Mytilus edulis: one gene and its partners. The protein of the gene in region 3 purifies or fractionates together with the protein of the main gene of each other region. This does not show direct contact. Links are inferred from orthologs where the notes say so. Each region holds a gene or a part of one and is shown on either strand. Other genes may lie near its edges.

The links.
Region 1: the proteins of high affinity copper uptake protein 1-like (region 3) and ubiquitin carboxyl-terminal hydrolase 32-like purify together in Homo sapiens (co-immunoprecipitation; 3 studies listed by BioGRID and IntAct, with this or other methods). This does not show direct contact. The link is inferred for Mytilus edulis from reciprocal best matches to the Homo sapiens genes SLC31A1 and USP32.
Region 2: the proteins of high affinity copper uptake protein 1-like (region 3) and galactosylgalactosylxylosylprotein 3-beta-glucuronosyltransferase 3-like purify together in Homo sapiens (co-immunoprecipitation; 3 studies listed by BioGRID and IntAct, with this or other methods). This does not show direct contact. The link is inferred for Mytilus edulis from reciprocal best matches to the Homo sapiens genes SLC31A1 and B3GAT3.

The regions. Positions count from the first base shown.
Region 1 is NC_092349.1:11,630,393-11,639,141, forward strand, and holds the start of ubiquitin carboxyl-terminal hydrolase 32-like, read right to left. Parts: upstream 3,726-8,749; 5' UTR 3,608-3,725; coding exon 3,550-3,607; intron 1-3,549. Other genes in the region: ran-specific GTPase-activating protein-like, read left to right, coding at 8,653-8,667. UniProt on the Homo sapiens protein: Deubiquitinase that can remove conjugated ubiquitin from target proteins, such as RAB7A and LAMTOR1.
Region 2 is NC_092346.1:96,234,100-96,242,454, forward strand, and holds the start of galactosylgalactosylxylosylprotein 3-beta-glucuronosyltransferase 3-like, read right to left. Parts: upstream 3,697-8,355; 5' UTR 3,541-3,696; exon of another isoform or gene 3,500-3,540; intron 1-3,499. UniProt on the Homo sapiens protein: Glycosaminoglycans biosynthesis. Involved in forming the linkage tetrasaccharide present in heparan sulfate and chondroitin sulfate.
Region 3 is NC_092345.1:7,927,055-7,935,421, forward strand, and holds the start of high affinity copper uptake protein 1-like, read right to left. Parts: upstream 3,689-8,367; 5' UTR 3,678-3,688; coding exon 3,591-3,677; intron 1-3,590. Other genes in the region: FK506-binding protein 15-like, read left to right, coding at 4,222-4,274, 7,646-7,743.

The DNA of each region.
Region 1 (8,749 bases), on a different chromosome or scaffold from region 3:
ATTATATTAGTTCTACATCGTATTTGACATAAAATATTTTTACAGATGAAGTACTGCAGAAAATTTTGTTTTAACAAAAATAACCTAACTTTTTTAATTATGGTTTTTATATTTCAACTGCTATTTATTTTCTTTGTTCCTCAAAATTATTTTTATTTTATGTTATTGGGGTTTTTTGGGGTTTTTTTTGTATATATCTTTTTCTTATTTGTTTGCATAAAATTTTTAAACATAATTTTATTCTATATCTGGAAAGTTATTTTTGTTTTACTGATTTATTTTCCACGTAAATCCATTGATTGACAGAATGCTGTCTCAAGTGCTGCTGCATACGTTTCCGAGATAAAAAATAATTACAGTGAGCAATACTTGTATACTAGTAGCTTGACGATTCTTTATAGTTGTGAATTTACAAATATTTCCGAAAGTTGGAGATGTATCACTAAAATAGAAAGAAACCCCCAAAATAGAACGCAAATAATAACACTAGAAGAAGATATTGAAGAAAATATTTGCCCGAGCTGTATCGGGGGGTAGGAGGGGTCCGGATCTCGAAATCCTGAATTTAAATTAAAAAAATCCCAACATTCCGAAATTAGAAAAAAGATCCCGAAATCCCGAACTTAATTGCATAATATTAATTTAGGCACAATCCATGTTAACTTGGAAACTTGTATTTTATATTTTTGACAGCAATCTAAAAAAAAATATTTGCCGTGAAAAGACAATTTCGTGATACACATATTAGTGATCAACAGCGTGTGCACGTGGTTGAACTTTAACTTGACTTCACTCACAATATTGAATGCTAATAAAAGATATTTAAAGATCGATTTTGTCCACTGCACGAGATTTTTATATGGCGGGAAATATCTTAACAGTAAACACAGGTGACCTTACTGAACCACTGTAGGAAAATCCATTCATGATTTAATTTGATGTGGAATGATTGACAGTATTGTGCTTTTATAGTTTTGAGGCTCTTAATCGAGATCCATTTGCAATTGATTTACCAGAATAGAAATTTAATCGATTTATATACATGTATAATCAAAACATGATTTAGTCTTCTTTTACTATTTTATGTATTATATTTATCAGTCATTTTCCGGATTCCCATTTAAATGATTTATTTGGAGACCTCCTCATTCGGAAATAATACATCGATTTAAAAAATCTTACTGACTGCATGAGCTGCAGAATGACTAGAAGTACGACCAAAAAGTAAAGACAGCTGATCATGACCAGTGTAAAACTTTGATTTTCGTGTATCGATTGACACAATTCGTAAAATATATTTATAATAAAAAACTCCGGCGATTTTCATAAAAATTTCAAACATGAAAATAGAAAGGCAATATCTTTGTTATAATACAACGAGTGTCAACAATTTTTTTTTAAATAAAAAATAGGAATCGAAATATAATCACGGCGTTATAAATATTGTATTAAAAAAAAACACTAGTTTCAAAGAGATTAACGAGAAATATGTCAAAATAAAAGCATGAGTGATCTGTCTGACCAAAATGTTTTACTTGCGACAAATGATTGACAGGTGTGAATAGACGTAGAGGCTCCGACGGGGAAAGTTGTATCAAAAGGGAAAGAACAGTTTATTCACAATGCCTACATGTATACATATTTTATAAATACGATATGTTGGCCTTATACTTAAAATTGTGTTTCTAATAATAACATATATAAAGGAATAGGACGTTAAAAGGGGGAAATACTATAACCATCAACGAAAACTCATATAAGTTACAGGATTGATGTCTCAACTATTTGATTTAAAACTTCGATTGAAAACAGTCCTGGTTGTTATAATTTTGAATTAGATGAAATATTTACGGTTTACAAATACAAATACAAAAAATGTTTCTGGCACAAAACTATTACAATAATTGGCAACACAATACATTGTTAAAAATCGTCTTTATTTCATTTTCAAGTAATAAAAAAAAATCCCATGTTCACGATATTTAATTTTAATTTTAATTTTAATTTTTTCTCTTTGAATACAAAACAATATTTCACATTTATCTATCCTCCATAAATACTAATATATCTGTACAGGTAAAATTTAATTCTAATCAAGCTGGTACAGATTGATTTACGACCTTCCACTTGGATATTGCACAGCAGGTGTTTATTACACTGGGACAACTGTCCGACTAGTCTGACAACTAGACGGATTAAGACATCCATAGAAATAAGTCTCTACCCGTACCAGGGGTGTGGAAATGCTATGCCCGACTCGCCCGACTCGTACATTTGAACAACCGGACAAGTAATTATTTTTGTCTTGGTTGCCCTTGGACAAGTAATAAAATATACAAAACAAAGTTCAAATCCAACAAAAACATAAAATTAATTTCAAAACGTATAAAGATGTTTAATTTATGTAAAAGAAACCAATGTTCAGCAAGTAAAAACATAATGTTCATGATAATTTAAATATAACATGATACCGGAAATAGATCGATTACCAAAATAAATAAAAATAAGTGTGCGAACCCGAGTCGCATATTATTGCATTGGCTTTATCCGTTGACACAGGATCGTCGATTAGGTTTTATCCATCATTTACCGGAAGTGTCATTTCTTTAAATTTTTTATCGAGATACAGATTTATAAAAAGGTGGGCAAGCAAGACAAAAATAGTCATAAGTCGAGTAGAAAACCTTAAATGCAAATGGAGGACACAGAGTATTTAAAAAAAAAAACAGAAGCGAGAATTTCAGACATCGTGGATATCAGATTGCCCCTGGCTATCTATGAAAATTCGGAAAATAAATTAAGTTTTTGTCTTATTTACAAATGATTTATAGATGAAAGGTCAACTTTATGTGTTGTCAAAGTGGAAAATAGAAGGGACGCTTTAATTGCCTATCAAGGCAATAATAAATAATCGAGAATAAAACAGGTGTGTCAGTTGAGAGAAACACCACAAAATCAATAGTTTATCTATTATTTAGTGTACATTTCTTCGATCACTGTCCTCAAATTTAGTATATGTACCTACTGGCTACAATTTTTATTCAAAAACTGCTGTAAAATTGTCCTTTACATGTCATTTCATTGGTTGGTTTGCTGTTAGGTTTCTGTCCCATTGGGACAAGTGCTCACAACAAATATGTCCACACCCCTGCGTACTGTACGTCTATTGTGGGGCCAGATATTTTGTTTTAACAGTTTAAGAAGTCGAAATTATACGGGAACCTGTGTGATATCCAGTAATGGCTGACAAAAAGCGATAACGTGTATTAATTCACTGAATGACTGAAGGAATTTTCCTCCCTGTAATTTAATGATTCAGTTTAGTGTCAGTTATCAAGCACATAACGTAAAATCATGTTTACGTGCAAAATATTTTCAAACTCATGTCATTTTTAATGTTGTATGTTGAGTCTGAATATGTAGACAAGTAAAAGATTGCAACTACATGTGTTTCTTGATCAACAGGATGTATTAATTTTACAGACGAAAAAATGTCAACATAAATTTGCAATATTTATAAGGTGTGTTTCAATCAAACTGTTTTCTTACATCGTCTGACAGCTTCCTCGTAAGGAATATAAGATAATTTTGATTCTTTTCCTCCCATTCTAGCGTTTGTAATTTATCAATAATCCAAAACAATCACTCTAAACTGTCAAAAGTGTCAAAATTCAGCCGATCGTCATCCATATTACATCACGCGATGTTGACACAAGTCTCGCGAGAAAAAGTAAGGGATCGGACAGGTTAAAAAAAGTAATTTCCCGCGGATTTTTGAAAATTAATATTTCTGAATTCTGTTTTCAACTTGTGACGCATACTGGAAACTATATCAATTTCATTGACGTATAACCGCTAACAATTCTCAATAAAGTTCAAAGTTCAATATATCTATATGATATGTACACATTTAAAGGGACACTAGCTACAAGATATTTAAAAAATCTAAAGTATGATTTTTTTTGTTCAATCATTTATAATGACAGTGAAATAGTGAAATAATAATTTGCTTTTAACAGCTTAAATGGTTAAATTTTTGTCAAATTAAGCTAAAAGGCTAATAAACATTGATAATGAATTATTCACTTGCAATTGAATAATTCGACCTCTGTACGGTTGTTTTTAAAAGGAAAAAATGTCAACATTGAAAGTGAAACAAAGGTAAATAATTTGATTGACTGATTCGATCCACAAAAAGAATTTCTTGTAAAGGAAAAAAAAAACACGATAAAAATACATTTTTAATCTATAACACAAAATTTAATGCACCTATAAAAATCCAATTGAATGAGTTAATTGCTTAATCTATTTATATCTATATCTAAGGGGTTAGCAAGTGAACAAAACATCATCAATGTTTCTTAGCTAAATTTTGACAAAATTGAACCGTACTGGCTGCTAACAGCGAATTATTATTTCATTATTTAACTTTCATTACCGGTAATGATCGAACCAAAACAAATCATTTTTTTTTATTATATATCTCGTAGCTTTAACCCCTGTTTCAATAAAAAAAATAAGACAATGTGGTTTGATTTTCCATATTAAAGTGACAAAATCTCAAAATGAAAAAAGAAATTAACAACTATAACTGTCACCGTAAGGCCCCACTATGATCCATTCCCCCTCTCCGCAAAGATGCAAGGAAGCGTAACCACCTTTTTGATTCGAAAAACTGAAAACCCATGAGTTTAAAGTAATAGAACTGACAACAACATTTGGATTGTCTTTCAACCCGTACCCTTAAGTGTAATCTTGAAAATTAACGAAAGCTCCGTTTTTACTCATGAAATCAACACCTATATAGATTAAAATATCGAAATGCATTTTTTTGTATTTGTAATGAGTCTGTAATCTCTGTCCTACATTTATTTTCACTCTATTCGGTCCTGCCTCTTTTATAAGTTTATCATGAATTTTTTAAATTAAATTGACATCCTGCCTTTTTTTTTGCCAATTTCTCATCCTGCTTTTCGTACTCAAAACTCATGTCTTGTCTTTTAAAAATTTCATCATAGCCCCTCCCTTTTTAAATCAAATGGTAGCTGCCCCTTATTGCCTGGTAATTTGTAGTTTGCCCCGAACTGACACAAAATTTCTATTGGCTTCATTTTCTTAGGTTACAATGGCACTTTATCATATGAATTTTGATTCAAGAGATTTCTATATATGACAGAAATATTTGCATCTGTATCTATCACAGCTTAGTTTTAGTGTTGCACATGACGTAAGCTGTGTATTTAGTGATAAGAAGATGTGGTGTGAGTGCCAATGAGACAACTCTCAATCCAAGTCACAATTTATAAAAGTAAACCATTATGCCAATAAAGGTACGGTCTTCACTCATACCGAACAGCAAGCTATAAAGGGCCCAAAAAACAAATACTAGTGTGAAACCATTCAAACGGGAAAACCACCGGTCTATTAATTTTTATCTATATTTGTCTGAACCTACAAAGAAATAATTGTACATACTTCCTTATTTGTAGGTTGTTTGTAATTTTCATTATTTTGATTTTTATCATCCTTGTGCCAACTCTATAGACTAAAGAAGGATCGAATCCCTATTGTGTATTCACTTGTGACACACTTTTATTTCCCTTACTCGACGTACATAACTGAAATGAATTTGTTTGCCACATTTATGGCATGACTGTTTGTAATTTGGACAGATTGTCCTTGATTTACATGATTTACCACAGCCAATACTGTAATATTGTAACCCTTGGCTATAGCGAATTCGAAGATTATATGGCCTTCAACAATGAGTAAAACCCATACCGCATAGTCAATTATGAAAGGTCTCGAAATGACAAATGTTTTACAAAAAATTAATTCAAACGAGAAAACTAACGCCGTGATTTTCGTACAGTGAAAAAAACGAAATACAAAATATTAAAAACGACAACCACTTAATTTCAGATTCATTACATTTAATAGGTACCTGTGGCAGTGTTAAATCTGGAACATTGGTGTAACAGTACAAAATATGATCAAACTATAAAAACAGTTAAAAAAAGACCTAATTCGTCGGATCGAGACAAAGCCAAAAACAAGTAACACAAACATATCCGACCGTGCCGCTGATGCATGCATGCGCATGCGGCCGAGGGCTGTATATATATAGCCAGTCAACATATATTTGTTTGCCTAACAGAAGTTTCACTGAAAATTTTGGTTATTAGCAAATGATGCCGTGAAATCAGTTCCTATTGTAACAAATATTCTTTACCATTTATTTTGTAAGGAACACATTCTGTATCATTTCTCCCAGTGGAAATTATAACATAATCGAAAATTTCTTCAGTTTGGAACTTTTGTTTCATATTAGCAGCAGCTATCATGAGAAGAGGACACTCTGTAATCATGTGAAAACCACGTCGAAATCATATTGTGTCTTTTTTTTAAACTTTTTTTTTCATCTGCAATTGTTTCAAACAATCATTGCAATCATCATTATCATTGTATAAAAAAAATAATGTTATTGTTCAGCTCAGCTTTGGGTGCTGTTCTCTGCAGGGACTTTATATATACATTAAGTCTGAACTATGAGACGGAACCGCTGACTCTGTATGACGGTCTGACAATCCGACCTCGAAAGTTTAAATGGGGATGTGGAAAGGGGGCGGGGGGTAGGAGGGGATCCCGAAATCCCGGGATTAAAAACACGAAATCCAGAGGTCCCGAAAGTTTAAATAAATTTAAATCCCGACATCCCGAAATTCCAAAAAAGAATTGCCAGATCCCGAAAGGGTCAGTCCCGAAATCACGAGCTTAAAACGCCCGATCCAGGAGTCCCGATAAAGGTCATATCCCCTCTCTATAATAGTCTACACTATATAATAGAAATAGATGTTTTTAAAAAATGTACTGAATATGGCCTAAACATTTTATACATTGAAACATGTCAAGATAAATCTGCTAATATTTTAACATTTACTGACGTGACTAAAACTTATGTAGACTCGTTGAACCGAGTGGGGTTAAAAAAATCGAGAAAAGTGGCAGATGGCACTTGTTTATATTGATTGATTGATTGTTGGTTGCTTAACGTCCAGTGGCAAATACTTCATGCATATTCAGGACGAACATATATACATATATACAAGAAAAACAAAGAGCTATTATATAAAAATAAGAGGACATGGTATGATTGTCAATAAGACAACTCTCCACAAGAACAACATGTGTAGCAGTGGCGGATCCAGAGGGTAAGGTAAAGTGGGTTGGAACAACTTTTTTTTACGATCAATGCTTTTGAATGGGGACACATGGTTTGAACCCTCCCCCCCTCTCAGTCCCTTTATCCCGACTCGAGTTGGACCCGTTTTTGTTTCGTCTATATTCTTATCTAGCTTTTGAATATTTACCTTTTCAGTGCATGTTCCATTCAGTTTAAGCCGTTTATCAAAATGTCTTCTGAATTTGAATGGGGACCAATTTCCAAAGTATTTATCATACTTTAAACAAAGAGGCAATTTCAAAATAACGTGTTGAATAAAATGAACTGAATTGAATTGAATTGAAAATTGAATATAATTGAATAGAATTGAATATAATTGAATTGAATTGTTGAATTGAATTGTTGAATATTGAATTTTTGAATTGAATTGTTGAATTGAATTGAATAGAAATTTGAATTGAATTGAATTGAATTGAATTGAATTGAATTGAATTGAATTGAATTGAATTGAATTGAATTGAATCGCATCGCATCGAATCGGATCGGATCGGATCGGATCGGAGATCGAATCGAATTCTTAAACATAGGGTGACAGATAAAATACTTAGAACAGCAGATATATAAAGCAGCTGATCTGGGAACAGTATGTCAATTGAATATATATGTTCCTGAGCTAATACAAAATTTAAAAAAAAAAGACATATGACCTATGATCACATATGTTCGTGAAATCCTACCAAATTAGCCAATTTATGACCACCATATTTATAGTGAAAACTTCGGACCCCAATGTTCATGATGCTCTTCAATTTCTACCTAAGATTAGCTGTCAAAGTGCTACTATTACAATTTCCAATAACAGTTAACAGCAAATACAAGAACAGATAACAAAAAAACTAATATTCCAATAACAGGTAACAACAGGTTTCAGACGGTTTAAAGAGCTCTAAGAGATCATGTTCATTGTTTTTGTGTATAGGCAACCAGACTTTAAATAAAGATTACTTTACTTTAACATGTTTAAAAAACATATTTCCAGAATAACAGATATAAACGAAGAATTAGATTTCCACAAAACAGCATATTTAGCATATTGGCATTTTGTCATTACAATTAATTAAACCCCTTGGCCCTCTCTTTAACAGCTTTTTTTCTTTAGCGTAATTGCGGATATTTCACCCCATTACCGCGTCCGATTCGTTATTTATGCGTGTTTCAAGGGAGATAAATCTTGTACTTAGAAAAAAGATGGGGATGACTTTTCAAAACGACGACAAAGGAAGGGACAAAATTCAGACGATATAATAGTGGTTGTCTTATTTCAACAGAGCTCGAACTACATTTTTTTCATTATTTGTAGAATATACAGTTATTTCTGCAACACTTTTCAGAGCGAGCCAAGAGGCTTTCGAAAGCGCCATTTTCAGCATCCAGAAAACGTGAAATAAATCGATCCCCATCCTCTGAACATGGCAGATGATAAGGTAAAATTACTCCCGATTTAAATTTCCCTTCTTTTGTTCTATCTAAATGTGTAATTATTTTTGGGGAAGAGGAAAAGGATTT
Region 2 (8,355 bases), on a different chromosome or scaffold from region 3:
AATATGCGCATGCTCCATAGGCTTTCAAGCTTGCATCCGTAAAAACATGTAATTCTACATTGTCTGATTTTTCTTTGAAATACGGTCTATTAATCTCCAAATGTGAACATTCATTAATATCTTGTAGTACACACTTCCATTCTGTTGTAATTTCAGATGTAAGAGGTTCATCCCAATTTAATCCTTTCTCCCACAAAGTCTGCATAAGAATCTTACTACGCACAGTAACTGGACCAATAAGTCCGAGTGGATCATAGATTTTCGACGATTGTCTTAAAATCTCTCGTTTTGTCAGACGTGTATCTTCAATATCTGGTATTCCGGTTTGGCGAAAGTAAGTGTGTCGTTACAAGTGTTCCATCTCAATCCAAGCACTTTTATGGGTTCATCTTTGTCTAATACGTTGTGTGAATTTGCGCGGTTTCGCAAAAGTTGAGAATTTGAAGCCCATGAGCGCAAGTTAAATCCTGCTCTAGTGAATAAGTCTCTTGCTGTATCAAAATATTTCAGTAATGCACTCTCTGTAGTAACGGCAAATTGGTGTAAACGAAATCTTAAAAGAATGCCGACTAAGTCATTTAAATTGGGTGGAGTAGTCATCAAACAATCATTAAGACTAGGCGATTCTGGTGTTGCTTTACAACTGCAGTCGTATACGACCCTAATTGGTGTTGTAGTTGAATCTTTTCTCACAGCATGATGCGGAATATAGTGTATTTTGCTAGTTTCATCGGTCTCATTAGTAGTATCCACTTTTTCTATGAAGCCCCTTTTCTCCTGCTCTGCCATTATTTCTCCATATTTTTCAAGTAGTTTGGGTTCTTTGCTAAGTCTTCTTATTACATTTTCCGTCCTTCGTTGTGCAATGGCTTTATTTGTCGGTAACGTAGGGTGATCCTCTTTCCATGGTAACGTTACAAAATATCTGTTGTCATGGTAACAAATTTGTTTCTCTTCATAAGTCTTTTGAATATCTATCTGTTCTTCTAACTTTGTGGTGTCAATTTTCTCGGTGGCCAGTGACTCTATTTTCCAAAATTTCTCCAAGTCGTACTCATCGGTTTTTGTTGCGATCATCACGTTCATCATTGAAGCTCTCTTGTATCCTTCTGTGTCAGAGTTGTGTGAATGTAGCGTTCCAGACAACAAGTATCCGATTTTTGATTGAACAGCTGTCGGTCCTTCGCCTCGGATAATATCATTCTGAACAATTGACCAAAAGTAATCAGCTCCAATTAGAATAGAAATTTCAAAGTTTTCATCTGCTGTTACTGGGTGAGCTAATTTGATTCCTGACAAATATGTAAGTTTTGCTGCTTGGCGTACATAGGTTCTCATCGGTGCTGCGATCTCTGGAACGATCAAGACTCGAATCGGCAGTTTACCATCTGTAGTTATGAGATATACCAATCCTGTTCTCAAATGGCGAATTTTAGTACTATTTGCATTGTCTCCAAATCCGGATAGGTTAACGATTTCAGTTCCAGTAGGCTTGAGTTTCAATTTCTCGGCTAATTCCTCTGTGATAAATGACCGCTGTGCGCCTTCATCAAACAATATTTTTGCATCAAGTATTTCATGTTCTGCACTTACTGGGTTAATTGCTGTCTTCAAAAGTACACGATCTGGCGATTGTGAGTGTAAAACAATGTCTGGTTCCTCCGCGTTGTGTTGAATTGTGCCTACGCTTACATCCCCTGTTGGTGTGTTGTCTTCATTTGTTTTAACATTGTCTTTGCAAATGCTGGTGTGATGACGTTTGTGACACTTGTTGCAAGTTTTTGTAGATTTACATGCGGATAAGCTATGGTGTCCTAGACAGTTAAAGCATAAGCGGTCTTTTTTCACGATTGACATTCGGCTATTGTAATCAGATACTTTAGTGCAATTAACAGGCGAGTGTGGCTCCTTACAGTACGCACAGTGTGGCTTGGGTTTAGTGTTACTTGCGTTTGTATTCTTGTTACCTCTATTTCGATTACTAGAATTTGTATTTGTCAGAAAGGCGGCGGTAGCTGTAGGGGATTCTAACTGTTCTGAAGTTTTGCCTGCATCCATAATATAAAGTTCATCGAAAATTCCACGGCGTAATTCATTCAGTTGTAAATCTGTAGATCTATATTGTCTGGCAAGATTTCTGCGGATTTCACCGGGTAGTTTGTTCATAATAATGGGCACTAAAAACGCTCCGTATGTGTCTTCACTTTGACCTAATGACTCCAAACCTCTAATGTGTATCTCAATTTCATCGTAGTAGTTTTTCATGCTAGATATCGTGTATTTAGGGGCTGGTATATCAACTAGTGCTTGCATATACTTCTGTCTTATTACATGCGATTGTCCATATCTTTCTTGCAGTAAAGAAATAGCTTTCTCATAATTTGCATGTGTAAGCGCAAACCCTGTGACGGTTTTCAATGCCTCATCATGGAGTAGTGACTTCAAATAATTAAATTTCTGAACGTTTCCAAGAGTAGTGTTTTCGTGAACGGATGTCTCGTATGAATCCCAAAATGACTGCCACTGCATAATATTACCATCAAAGGTAGGAAGATTCAATTTGGGCAACTTGTTGTACTCATTTACTCTAGTGTTACTACGTGAAAACTGAGTTTCCGGTTCACGGAAGTTTGAATTACATGTATTCTGTTTAGTGTATCTCTCGGGTTGAGCATAACTTTGTTGATCATGAGCGGGTTGAGCATAACTTGACTGATCATGAGCGGGCTGAGCAGGGGCGGAATGAGAAGGGCCGCTATAACTGACGAAATCTTTTGCATTTGTATTGAGTGCGGATGTATTGACAAGAATGAGCTTTTGTATTTGCGTTATTTTTCCATCTAATGTGTAAGCATACTCATCTGAATCGACGATCTCGGCTTCTACTTCTCCTTCATCAAGATTTTCTAGAATGTCCTCATTTAATTTTTGTAGTGTCTCTTGTTTCTTCAACAGATTGTTCACAATTTTAGTTAACTCTTCAGTGTTCACGGGCTCATCTCCGTCGTCTCGGATGTCCTCAAATTTCTTCAAAAGTCGGGAAATAACACTTCTGTGTCCTGCACGTATCGAACGTAGTTTGGAACTCATCTTGGTCCTTCGGCACCAATATCTTAAAATGTTTTTATAAGACTTGTTAGGCACAATAAGAAATACTAGCTGTTTCTACTTGTAATGATTCTAAACTCATCTTGCACATAAATCTCAACGTCATAAGTAGCGTGACGTTACAATACATAGCGGTACCGCAAACGTCTAATGAACACAGTCCTGAACAGGTAGGTAGGTAGGGATTTTTTTTAATTTTATGGTGTTTTTTTTACATTGAGTCTATGGGAGCAACATTCTGACTTTAACAGTACTAGTGCTTAATGAAAAATGACAATAAAATCTTTTGGGTAGTCTATTTTCAAGCCGAAAAAGTAGGGACGGTAGGGTTACTGGAATCACATACATATTTTTATTTGGCCTATTAGTATCATGGACCTGATAAACTTACAGAAGAGACGTATTTCGACAACAATTCTTAAATGAGCTTACATTTCACCATCCGCAACTTTATTGTATTTTTTCGTTCCAAATATTCCAAATATTGAAGAAGTTTGAAGAAAGAGATTTTTTTCTGTCCGGGGAATATAAGTAAGGGAAGAGAAACCAATCTGTTCTGTTCTATTCTGTACAGGTATATTCCACGTTATATATATCGGAACACTCCTACTTGGGATTAAATATTTTATTGGCACTGGCTACGGTTACATGGAAATGTAACAATAATAAAAATATTATTGTTACATTGGAGACTAATTGCCGGAATGCAAAGTTGGGTGAGGAACCGATTAATTACAAATGTAACAATAATTACTGAGGCTACGGTTACATTACGTTATTGTTACATGAAATACAGCAATGTACGCTAGATTGATAAAACTTAAATCTTCTATAGTTGAACTGCTTCATTCTTTCATATGTACTAAACAATACTTGTAATTTAATACTGATAAATAATAAAATATTATTATTCAACAAATGGTGTACAACTTGAATAGTTTAACTACGTATTAATGGTTTTGATGTTCTTAAAGATACTACTCAAGATTAGGAATGTGACTGTCAAAGGCGAAAAATATAGTCAATGGTTTCACTTTCTTAAAGTATTTAACTGCACACCTACTCTTATTACTGTCATTATACTTTGGACCAATTTTGTTTATGGTGAAAAAAATAAAACTTGGGATGCGTTTTAAACGAAACTGAAACAATATCAAGACATACATTTCATACAGCTTTATAACTTGACGCAAATTGATAATCAAAAGCAAAGTTTGCTAATTGTAACTTTTAAAATACTAAGAAATTCTGTATGTACACTTATCCGTGGAGGACGTAATTTCGTTCATCAAAAATGTGTCGGACTTTAAAACAACTTACTGGATTTGTAGAAATTGTCATTGTAAATAAAAAATTACAGTAAATAAATTGTATGTTATAAATGTATGTAATAAATGTCCTCAACTTTTATTATTTAGTACATATTACTAGTCCCATCGTACATTGCTTTTTTTCATGTAACAATAACGCAATGTAACCGTAGCCTCAATAATTATTGTTACATTCGTAATTAAACAGGTCCTTACCCAACCATGCATTCCGGCATTTAGTCTCCAATGTAACAATACTATTTTTATTATTGTTACATTTCCATGTAACCGTAGCCAGTGCCTATTTTATTTACACAGATATTTACACAGTGTGGTGGGGTGCTTAAGTTTAAAAACTTTATATACAGGTAAGACTGTGAATTTCAAAAATAAGTGTATATTTAGTGCTATTTACATCATTTATAATTCTACCTAAGTTAAAAATTTTGATTTAAAAAACGTTTTGATTCCTTTTAATGAGACAATGGGGTGATTCTACCATATGTTTAATAAGTTAAAGGATTAAAATATGAAAGAAAAAGAAAAAAAACCAAGGATAAAAGGTAAAAATAAGTTGATTAAAAAAAAAAAAAAAATTGAGATTAAATTGTTTCAGTAAGGTATCAGCTTAAGACGAGATTATCAAAAATCGGAAATATATCATTAACTTTTTTTTTAATCATATATCGTAAAATTTGAATACATATAGAATAACCATACATTGTCTCGAAATATCAATGTTATTTGTACAAGGCTTAGAAACAGGTAGTAAACGAGGCGGTGCTGTGATCTCAGGCCTGTCAAGGTCTTTAAGCATATAATTAGACGTAAGCAGCTAATCTAGTCGTAGATAGAGGCAGTTGGCTTGGCATTCCATGCAGACTGCTTGGTCCATCTTTCCTGAGATTAGTATGGCTATATATATCTTTATTCTCATAAACCAAAGTACAATGATACAGAAACATATACAAATACATTAACATAGTATAAATTTTAAATATAAATGTAAAGTAGAGACATAAAGTGGTTACCCAGGAGATTCTAGGCATTTGATAATAATTCTTATAAACGTGCAGATTGTTTAGTTCAGACGGGTTGCTACTATTCATTAGACCTTGAAATTTTAAAATATTTGGTCTGTTTATAAAATGATGCTTTAGTAGCAGTTGTCTACTATCGTCTATTGCCGATCATGCTAAAATATAATGGAACTCGTCGCCAATGTCACTGGAATTGCACAACTTGAAGTACAAATACGATTTTCACTCTGAATGTTTTGCCATCTAGTGTCTTTCTATGTTGTGATATTAAAATATTGTTTCAGGCTAAGAACAGTAATTCTAACATTTCCCTGTTTCAGGTAAGGATGAAGGTTGATATAGTTATGTTCTTATGATACAGAAAAACAACGTTGTAAAAAAGGGAGAGGGCTGGGACTATTATACTAGTATACTATTATAATAGTCTCAGGAGAGGGCAAAAAGAAAAATAAAGATTGTCCTGTCCACAAGTACCTATGGTCAAAACACCTAGTATTGTTTCTCACTTGATTTTTTCGATTATTCTATTTCATGTTTATGAGATTAGTTTTCTGCAGCGTGTGTGTCTCCCTTTTTGAAAACACACGAACTGTTTGCGTTGAGCCAGTCTTCGGTAGTATTCCAGTCTATTGATGTTTGGAAGATGGCAGTTAGTGCTTGTGCTGTTTCTGTTGCACATTCTTTAAGAATTCTGTTAGGGATAACATCTGGTCCAGATTCTTTCGATGAGTTTACATCTTTGAGAAGTTTTTCGAGACTTTAGTGGTTATAAGTAGCTGTGCTATTTTGTTGTTTTAGGCATCGATGTTGAAATTTGTCATTTGTGATCTAAATGGTCGAATTAAAATTTCTCAGTCTTCCTCTGCTGTCACAGACCTTCTTCTGTTTGTTTTTATGCCCCACCTACGATAGTAGAAGGGCATTATGTTTTCTGGTCTGTGCGTCCGTTCGTCTGTCCGTCCGTCCGTTCGTTCGTTCGTTCGTTCGTTCGTTCGTTCGTCTGTCCCGCTTCAGGTTAAAGGTTTTGGTCAAGGTAGTTTTTGATGAAGCTGAAGTCAATCAACTTGAGACTTAGTACACATGTTGCTTATGACATCATCTTTTTAATTTTAATGCCACATTAGATAATTTGCCAAATTTCACGGTCCATTGAACATGGAAAATGATAGTGCGAGTGGGGCATCCGTGTACTTTGGACACATTCTTGTTTAAAGGTGATACTCCAATTTTATCTTTTTTTCGTGGATTTGATGTACTTACAGAATGGCTTTGTATTGTTTCTTTTGTAGGCATTTGATGATAGTATCATTGATGGATGAGTATTCTGCTTTCCTGACTTCCCGTTGCACTTCTTTTTGGAACTGTCTGTAGTTTGTCAACTGTTTATAAAACTGAGAATGGAAAGGGGGAATGTGTCAAAGAGACAACAAGCTGACAAAAGGGCAGAAAACAGCCGAAGGCCCCAAATGGGTCTTCAATCCAGTGAGAAAACCCCGCAACCGGAGGCATGCTTCAGCTGCCATATTAAAATAAAAATGTATACCAGTTCAGTGATAACAGACGTTATACTAAACTATGAGATTTATCAAAGAAATGAAATAAAAAATCATACAATCAAACAAAGACCAGAGGCTCCTGACGTTGGACAGTCAGGTGCAAAGATGCAGCATGGTTAAACATGTTCGCAAACATGCGGCGGGTAAGTTCATTTAGGTTGTTGGTATAGCCTTTTTTTTTAACAGTTTCCTTAATTTTTGGTTTATCTAGGGTAAGATGTTCTTAGAGCGGATTTCTTAAGATATCATGGGATGTGTTTGTCCATTCTTTAAAAAGAGTTCTCACTTGAGGGTGTCACTCATTCCTTATGCGTTTATTCGAAGATCCTGCATCTGTCGGATTTTTGTTGATATTAGTGAAATCTCCTCTTTAATGTTGTTGCAGTTTGTCTTAAGAGTAAATATAGCATTTTCTGGGTTTGCTACGCTGGTAGTAAGGTCTGGTGTCACAGTCTGTAACTATCATTTCATGGTTTGATATGCCAGTTGTGTTTTTGATTTGCTACGCTGTTAGGAAGGTCTGGTGTCACAGTCTGTAACTGTGTGTGTTTTTAACAAGTGATGGGTCTTCCCGTTAAATTAACTCAAGCAGAAAACTTACAACTGAAAATTGGTAAATAATTGAAAGACACTAGACCATTCAAAGGCATGACTTCAAAATAGTTGTCAAACTGATAGGCACATGTTGAAAAAAAAACCTTCAAACAGGAGATGCGCAAGCTAGAATTAGACCACCAACCCAGCCAAAAAAACCTTCAACACAAGAGATGATCAAGCTACAATTTGACCACTGACCGAGCAAAACAATTTTCAACACAAGAGATGATCGATGAGCATAACTATCGTTAGACAACCAAACCAACCAAACAAACAACATTTAACAAAAGAAGATCAAGCTTCCATTAGACCACCAACCAAGCCAAACAAACAACCTTCAAAACAAGAGATGATCAAGCTTTTATTAATAGACCACCAACCAGAAACAAGAGTGCACACACTGAAATGTCTCGCCTTCTTTACTAATCATTGATATTATGTTGATAGTCCTAAGTATAAAACTTGATTACAACTGTCACATAAACTTAACATTAACCAAGATAGCTAAACAAAGACCAATGAACCATGAAAATGAGGTCAAGGTCAGATGAACCATGCCAGGCAGACATGTACAGCTAACAAAGCTTCCATACAACAAATATAGTTGACCTATTACTTATACTTTAAGAAAAATAGACCAAAACACAAAAACGTTACACTGTGCAATGAACCTTGCAATTGAGGTCATGGTCAAATAAAACCTGTGGGACTGACATATAGATCATAATATATTTCCATACACTA
Region 3 (8,367 bases):
TTTTACACAGGGCTTTGATAGACCAAACAGGAAGCTATAAAGGACCCCAAAATTATTAGCGTACACAATTCGAACAGGAAAACCAACGATCTAATTTATATATCCAAACGGGAAAATACCAATGAACAACATCAACAAACGATAACTGCTGAACGACATGCTCCTGAATCAATCAGGACAGGTGCATAAACATTCAGCGGCTATAGATAGTTTTGTTTCGCCAGCATACAATATAATTGCAGTTGAAGGCAAATCCTTCAGAAGTTCTTTGTACTTTATTCTAACAACGACCATTTTTTGATAGGGAATATAAGTAAGGGGGAAAGAAACCAATTTTTTGTTCTTCACGGAAATACCCGCTGTTATAACTTTTTATCGGAGCACTCCCAGGTTTCATGCTGAAACAAATATTCTCACAGATATTTACACAGTGTGGTGGGGTGCTTTTATGTTTAAAATCGTTATATACATGTACAGGTTAGACTGTGATAAATTTAACAAATGTTGATATCTTTTTATAATATTTACACAAAAAAACGGTGCGGGAAATGGACATGATTACAATTCCGGATGCGGGAAGCGGGAATATAAAAAAAATATAAAAATTCTGTTTTGAAAAAAATAGGTGCGGGCGGGTCTGTCGAACAAGGGATCAAATTGGTGTTACCTAAAGTAATAAAATTTACCAATAAGACTTTTCAACCCAACATGACCAAGTAGAAATATTAAATTTAAAAAAACAAGCATTAATATTTCATTTATAATACTTTTGGCTGATATTATAAATTAGAAATTATTAAACAGTAGGTACAATACAGGAATAGACACCCAAGCTGTCAAGTGGACCCTAAATAGTGATTAATTGTGCAAACTAATTTATGCAATTAAAATTGTCATTTAACTTTATTGCTTAACAGGAAACCAAAAGTCAATCAGGCTGTTGTTTGTTTTTTGCACTTAGTACCAATCTGATGAGTCAAGCTTTTCATTATATAAATCAGGCTATTAGTTTTCTTGTTTGAATTGTTTTACATGTCATTATGGGGCTTTTTATATTGCTGACCATGAAGTATGGGTTTTGCTCATTACTGAAGACTGAAAGGTGACCTATAGTTGTAAACTCTATGTAATTTTGTCTCTATATATATATGGTAAAGTTGCCTCATTGACAATCAAATCATTCTTATTAACTTTACATGTGTGCACATACATTTTTTATACATGTATATTATATTGGCAGACTGAAAGCCTTTTTTTATGCTAGATAAGTGAATTAGAAAAATCATGTGTTCATAATATGTTTGCATTATACATGTATAATATATAGTAAACATGGTAAATGATGAGGGTGGTTTATAACACCTTGACTACCCATGAGGGTTTTGCATGGCCAGTAATAAATTAATAGAAACTACATTAGGGTATATCTTAAAAGTACTATGTGTAATGTTTTAAAAATCCTGGTTTGAAATCACTAAAAATATTGAAGATCCATATCCACAATTTTATTTTTACCAAATAGCATTGAACTCCATTTCAATATTTTGTCAACGTAAAATAATTTAAAGTTACAAATATTTTGAGGAATAAACATAATTTCCAGCAGTTGAATTTCACAATACACAAATTTAAGGGGAGTAACCCTTAATGAATTCATCATAAAAATTAAAATACTCATCAAATAGATATTTGAAATTGAGTGATATGAAAGAACCTTTTGAACAGTATAATGCTTGTTACCAGACCTGGCTGATGTAATATCCTAATCTTTAATTATTGAAAGCCAATTAATGCAAGCTAAAAGAAAACTGGGTGAGGAGGTGAGAAAAAAAACTATTTCTATTGTTGGAGAAGAGAACAACATATCATGGCTTGACAACATGCTTTATACAAAATAAACATATTTTGTGCATATAATACATTTTTTTTCTGATTATGTCACTAGCATGAGGATGTTGGATGTTTAGTGAAGCCGTATAATTCTTGTCAGAAGTCATAAACTTCATTGAAATTATGCAACGACTAGTTGATGTAGCTAACTTCATTGAAATTATGCAACGACTAGTTGATGCAGCTAACTTCATTGAAATTATGCAACGACTAGTTGATGCAGCTATGGAAGTTTACCTGTTGTAGTCGAAATGTATAATTTATCGTAAAGTAATGCCAATAAATCGTTAAAAGAATCATTAAATGCTGTAGACTTATTAAGCAAAACGTATGTTGAATAGTATTTTCTTTTTAACTTGCATATATATATATACATGTACGTATTATATACAAATTTTGAGACACATAATTTTCCTTAAACTGCTCACATTTTATATTCAGCGGAGATTTCCATTTAATTTTACACAAGTATGTCCCTTTTTGTAAATAGAATAATTTACCGATGAAAAAAACGAGGTCAAAATTAGGTAAAGTTTTTTTTATAAAACTTTAACTGTTAGTAATGCAATTGAAAGAATTAACAACAACATTTGGCTTTAAAATCTTTAATTTTTTTCGAGCAATTAGATAATCGTAAAAAGAAAATGCTGTACTGCCTGTAGAACGAATGGTGAATTATATTTCCTTTTTCATTTGTGTACAAAACTTTGTGACATGTAATTTTCTTTAAACTGCTCACATTTATCATGTTTATTCAGCAGTAGTTTCCATTTATTTTTACACAAGTATACATACATGTATATATCTCTTTTGTAAAAAAAAAAAAAATTAAATAAATTTACTGGTGAAAAAAATAAATGAGGTCAAAATCAAGTATTCTTTTTTTTATATAAAATTTAAAAATTTAAATGTACAATGTAATTGAAAGAATTAACAACAATTTGCCTTTTTAAAATATTTATTGGTTTCAAGCCATTTGCATTAGATATATAACCTGTTTATAAATAGACAGGAAATACAATTTTTAAATTACATAAGAAATTTCATATACATTTTGTACCTTGACTGTTGTGTGCTGGCATAGATCAGAAGGATTTGGGCAATTAATTACCTGGTGTGACACTGTGCTGGGAGATTTGTCGCTAATAAACATGTACATTTGTACATTGTAATAAACAAAAGGTAGTGGATTTAAGAGGAAGTCTGAGGGAATACTCTCTAATTTCACTGGAGAATTTAGGGAGGGATATCAGAGTTACCTGGTGTCACACCAAGAATAATCGTGGTGTAGGGAGTTTGGGAACCTGTTTGCGTTATTTGTACTGTATATTGAATGCATCAAAGTAACAATACCACAACAAAATCAGAGACACAAATAATACTGTTACATTCATTTGGTCCCTAACCCAACCGAACATTCCAGCAATAAGTGTCAAACTAAAGATAACATTTTTGTTCTTGATATGGTTTCATCATAATCTAATCAGTCCTAACCTTGCACCAATTCAATCTAAATAAAATTCTGGAGGGCATAGTTCATATGTACATTGTTTCCCTAGCTGCGGAACCATAGCTCTAAGGTTCTTATGTTATTTTATTACTATTTGCAGACCTAGCTGTGGAACCATTCCACAGCTAATGTATCCCCTGTTTAAATATTGTATACATGTACATGTGTGCAGGTTAAAATTATGGCTTACATGAAAGTCTAATCCTGAATAAATCAACACTGACAGTACAATAACTGGACAGGCTATCTTTAAAACAAAAGTTTTTAGCTTAAACATAGATCTTGATTCCAAAAATAATACAAATTAAGTCTTTCAAAACGTACCTGCAGTTGTTTACTATACAAAGTTTTACTCTCAACCGGGATCCAAGAAAGAATAAGCAAAGTTCTGAGGGTTGCTAAAAATCAGAAAGGTTAAAATTTGCTTATGAGGAAACACCAACTCTTCATTGAGAATTTGAACTATTTATTTCCTGATTCGGAACTACACTATAGTTTTACCAACATCCAAAACACTACATGTCAATTATGCAACATACGTTCCAAGAGTGCAACAGGTGACATAAACAACTAACCTCAACCTGTTTCGAACTTTAAGTGTAGTTTTTATCAAATAATTAAATATATGAGTTAAAAAAAATTTTAATAATATCGGTTTATTCTCAATTCAAAAAATACATCTTTTTATATCGGTTGTTCTTTCGAAAATCAAATACGAAAACAATTAATCACCTGACTCTACTCGGTCTCATATGACTTCCGGGAGGGCAGTTCCAAAAAAAATATTTTTATGTTTCTAAATAATTGTTTAGTAATGCATCATGTTTTTCAGTGCTGAAGATGACGATCAAGATTTTGTGTCCGGAGGGTCTAAGTTAGTTGAATGTAGAAAATATATGGGCATATGCATGCAAAGAAAAAAAGAAGAACATGTCAAATAATTTCTATGACTATCAGTCAGGGAAAAAAAGACGTTTCGGCAAAGGAGCCTGTTCGGCCTTGGTTGATATAATCTTGGTCAATTCGGCCATGTTATAAAAGTAAAAGCAACTGAGGCATTTCTCCACAAGAGACCACATGACACAGGAGTTAACAAATGTAGGTCACAGTACGGCCCTCAACAATGAGCAAAATCCATGTCCAAATAATTATGACGTCTTGAAAAGCTTCTTTTTTTTAAATTGTGATGTCTTCCTTTTTTGTGAGAAATCTCCTTTTTTCTGTGACGTCTTCCTACAACGTCTTAACACCAAAGCCTTTTTTTCCGTCTGGACTTTAAGAGAGAATTTTTGGGGGAACTCTGAGACCCAATTTTGGCATGAAATCTTCATTGCTGCTTAGTAATTTTTGCATAGTTACTTAAAAAGACTTTTTTGTGTTTATTGATGCGAAATATTTCCAGAAATATCCAAAAGAAATGACAAGATACGATTCCATTTGAAGTGGGCAAATATTTTTCTTGTATTTCAAAATGGTTTCCCAGAATTATCAAAAATATGTCACTTCTGGATTTTACCAAAAATCAAACTTGTTAAAATTTGATTGACTAAAATTTACAAACATTCTTTTTATATTATCAGGAAATTCTGGTCTGTAAAATTTTATCAAGTTTGATATTAAAAATTAAAATAGCCAAACAAGATGTCATAATTGTGTGGACTAGCAAAACTCATACTGCAAAGCCAGATATAACAGGCCCCAAAATGCAGGCTGATATATTTCCAGTATTCATCATCATACTTATATTTATTATAAAAGTCTATATCACATACACAGAAAAATTACATTTGATATTATTATTGTAATCAACAGATATAGAACCGTTATGAAAAAAATATTAATTATATATATACATGTATATAAGGACTGAAATTATCAAGGCCAAATTAAACTGGTTTCATGGCTGAAATGTCTTGCACATTTGTCAGGGTTAGTCATGTCTCCAACTGTCTTCTCATTTCATTACTTTCTTGTTGTTGTACATGTACACAATGTACTGTTGATTGAAGGGTTCTGTAATTTCTTCTACATTTGCAATATTTCGTGAGAGATTGGCCTATTTGATGGCAGTCCTTTATTGTAATCAGTCTCCAATGGCATGAATGTTACGGTTGAGGTATAATCGACAAAAATCAAATTATTTTTTTCTGAATGATCGAGTTATTGACTAAAAAGCAATATTTTGATGTACACTGATGTAGGATCTTGAGTAACAATTACCGTAAGTTAACATGGTTAAAGAAAATATATGTCATATAAACATGAATCATGATAAAGTTGTTTCGTTGAAATAGCATACAACCTATCTGTAAAGTAAACATGGTAAATGCTTTCACCTCTTTTCTTAAGAAATAAATTGTTTTTTCTTTGAATTTCTCTACAAAAATGGAAATGAACTTGGTTAAAACTGAAAAAACGCAGATGAAATCCACTGTTGTGAACGCCTGTTCAACTACATATCGCTTTTGACAGGGCTCCTGTGAATTTTTATGCCCCACCTACGATAGTAGAGGGGCATTATGTTTTCTGGTCTGTTCGTCCGTCTGTTCGTTCGTCCGTTCATTCGTCCGTTCGTTCGTCCGTCTGTCCCGCTTCAGGTTAAAGTTTTTGGTCAAGGTAGTTTTTGATGAAGTTGAAGTCCAATCAACTTGAAACTTAGTATACATGTGCCCTATGATATGATCTTTCTAATTTAAATGCCAAATTATAGTTTTGACCCCAATTTTACGGTTCACTGAACATATAAAATGATAGTGCAAATTTCAGGTTAAAGTTTTTGGTCAAGGTAGTTTTTGATAAAGTAGAAGTCCAATCAATTTGAAACGTAGTATACATGTTCCCTTTGATAAGATCATTCTAATTTTAATGCCAAATTAGAGAATTTATTCCAATTTCAAGGTCCACTAAACATAGAAAATGATAGTGCGAGTGGGGCATCCGTGTACTGTGGACACATTCTTGTTCAAAAATGAAAGCAGAGTCAAATCCATCCCTTTTTAAAAGGGGAGTTCCAATCATCATCATATGTCCGCAATCAAAAGCATTGATCCTAAAAAAAAAAGGGGGGGGTCAAACCAACCCCATCCAGAAATTATTGCAAAGCTTTCCAACAAAAAAAATTCAAATGGATGAATTCTACATTGGACCAAATTTTCACCTCCTTTTTGCATTTTTTGCATTATTTTTTTATCAAAGAGATTATATTTCTCCATTTTAACCCTTCAAAATAAAATCTATGGAAGATGCTTTTTCCATACATGTGCACATACATTTTTTACATAACACAAACATGACAAACAGTAAGCATACTTTGTTAGAAAGCAATGGAAAGATTTGAAAGAGGATTGTTTCAAATCATGAGTGTTAATTACATCAGTGAAATTGTTGTCTTTTTTCAAAACTACCTCTACCGTTTTTTTATTGGAAAAAAATATGGAAATGCATATTTTTTAATGAAATTGGGAAATTTGTATATTTTATTCTAAACACATATCTCCGATTTTTTTGCTGACCTTTGCTGTCTTTTTTGTACTGTTTTTTCATGTATATTTTGGTTGTCTGACATTTTCAACCTGAAAGGTAGTTTTTCGGAGAGGGGAAAGAAACAGAAGCAAAGATGGTACTTAATGAATTTAAACCCCCAGGTGTTACAAGTTTACACCATGATGATTCTGATCAGAAAACCGGATCTCAAAAGTGTATTCTAATATCAACATGATCAAAATAATAATATGAATATGATATTTACAAACATTCCTACCAATGCCAACACTGTTTGGGGAAAATGTAAAACTTTTTTGGGAGGAGTTTTAAGCCATTTATTTTTAGTAATTGGGAATTTTCTCTAGGGGAAAAAGCCGAATTTCAGCTGTAACTTGTGGCAAAAAATATCAATGTACATGTATATATATGTTAAGTTTTTTTCTTACTGTGTATTGCTATCTGAATGAGACTTCTAAGTCCTTAGGCTTGCCTCCAGTCGCCTTGTAACATGAGCCCTGATTACACATCAGATTCTTAACTCAGTAAACTCATATCTGATCAGTAGACAGTATATGCTATGACCCAACATAGCTCAATGATGTGTGCTAAGCTAAAAACTGAAAATGAAAAAAATCTGCTTGACGCAGGAATGAACATATTGAATCCAATTTGTGCTATATATATGTACAACAAGACCAATCATCAATATTTCACAGTTTGCAATATAAAACTTGAATATGTAATTACTAATTTTTTTTTCAGATCAAGGTTAGCAAATTTATTTGGTATAGATAAGCAGAGTTCCCAAGGTGGTAATGAATCTTTAACTTATACAGCACCTAAACAGCCAAGACCAAAAGGTATTTTGATGTTTACATTTTAGAAGGTTTCCTCAGTCAATTTCTTTTTAGCCAGCTCTTTGCAAAAGCTATATTTATTCACCACTTTCAATTATTAACATGACATAGTTAAATTAAAAAAAACATAAAACTATGAATAAAACAGGGTTGCTAAAATGATTGTAAACATATAATGTTTAAGGTAAAAACATGATTACAAAATCTTATCAAACCACAAACTAAACAACTTTAATTAATAAGAAAATTGAGATAAGCTATCCTTTTTTAATCAACTGATAATTGGTTTTCTTCCAAAATTGTAACATGTTCAAATAGGGTTCTTCACAGTTCAGCCATATTTGATAGGGGGGCAGATTTTCATGGTTCTGGTAAAAATGTGTGAAAAATATGTGAAAACATCATTAAAACAGAGCAGTTGCTTGGAAACCTGCATAGAATTTCCCATACTTTCATACTATTTCCACCTCTTTCAAAAAATCTGCCCCTATCCAATATGGCCAAACTAACCGTGAAGAGCCCTATTAAAAAAAAGGGTTTACTGATTATTAATAAACAAGATGGACACCATTGAACCATTCTTTAACATTAGCTTCGAATTATTACCCACAACATTTTAAAAGAAAT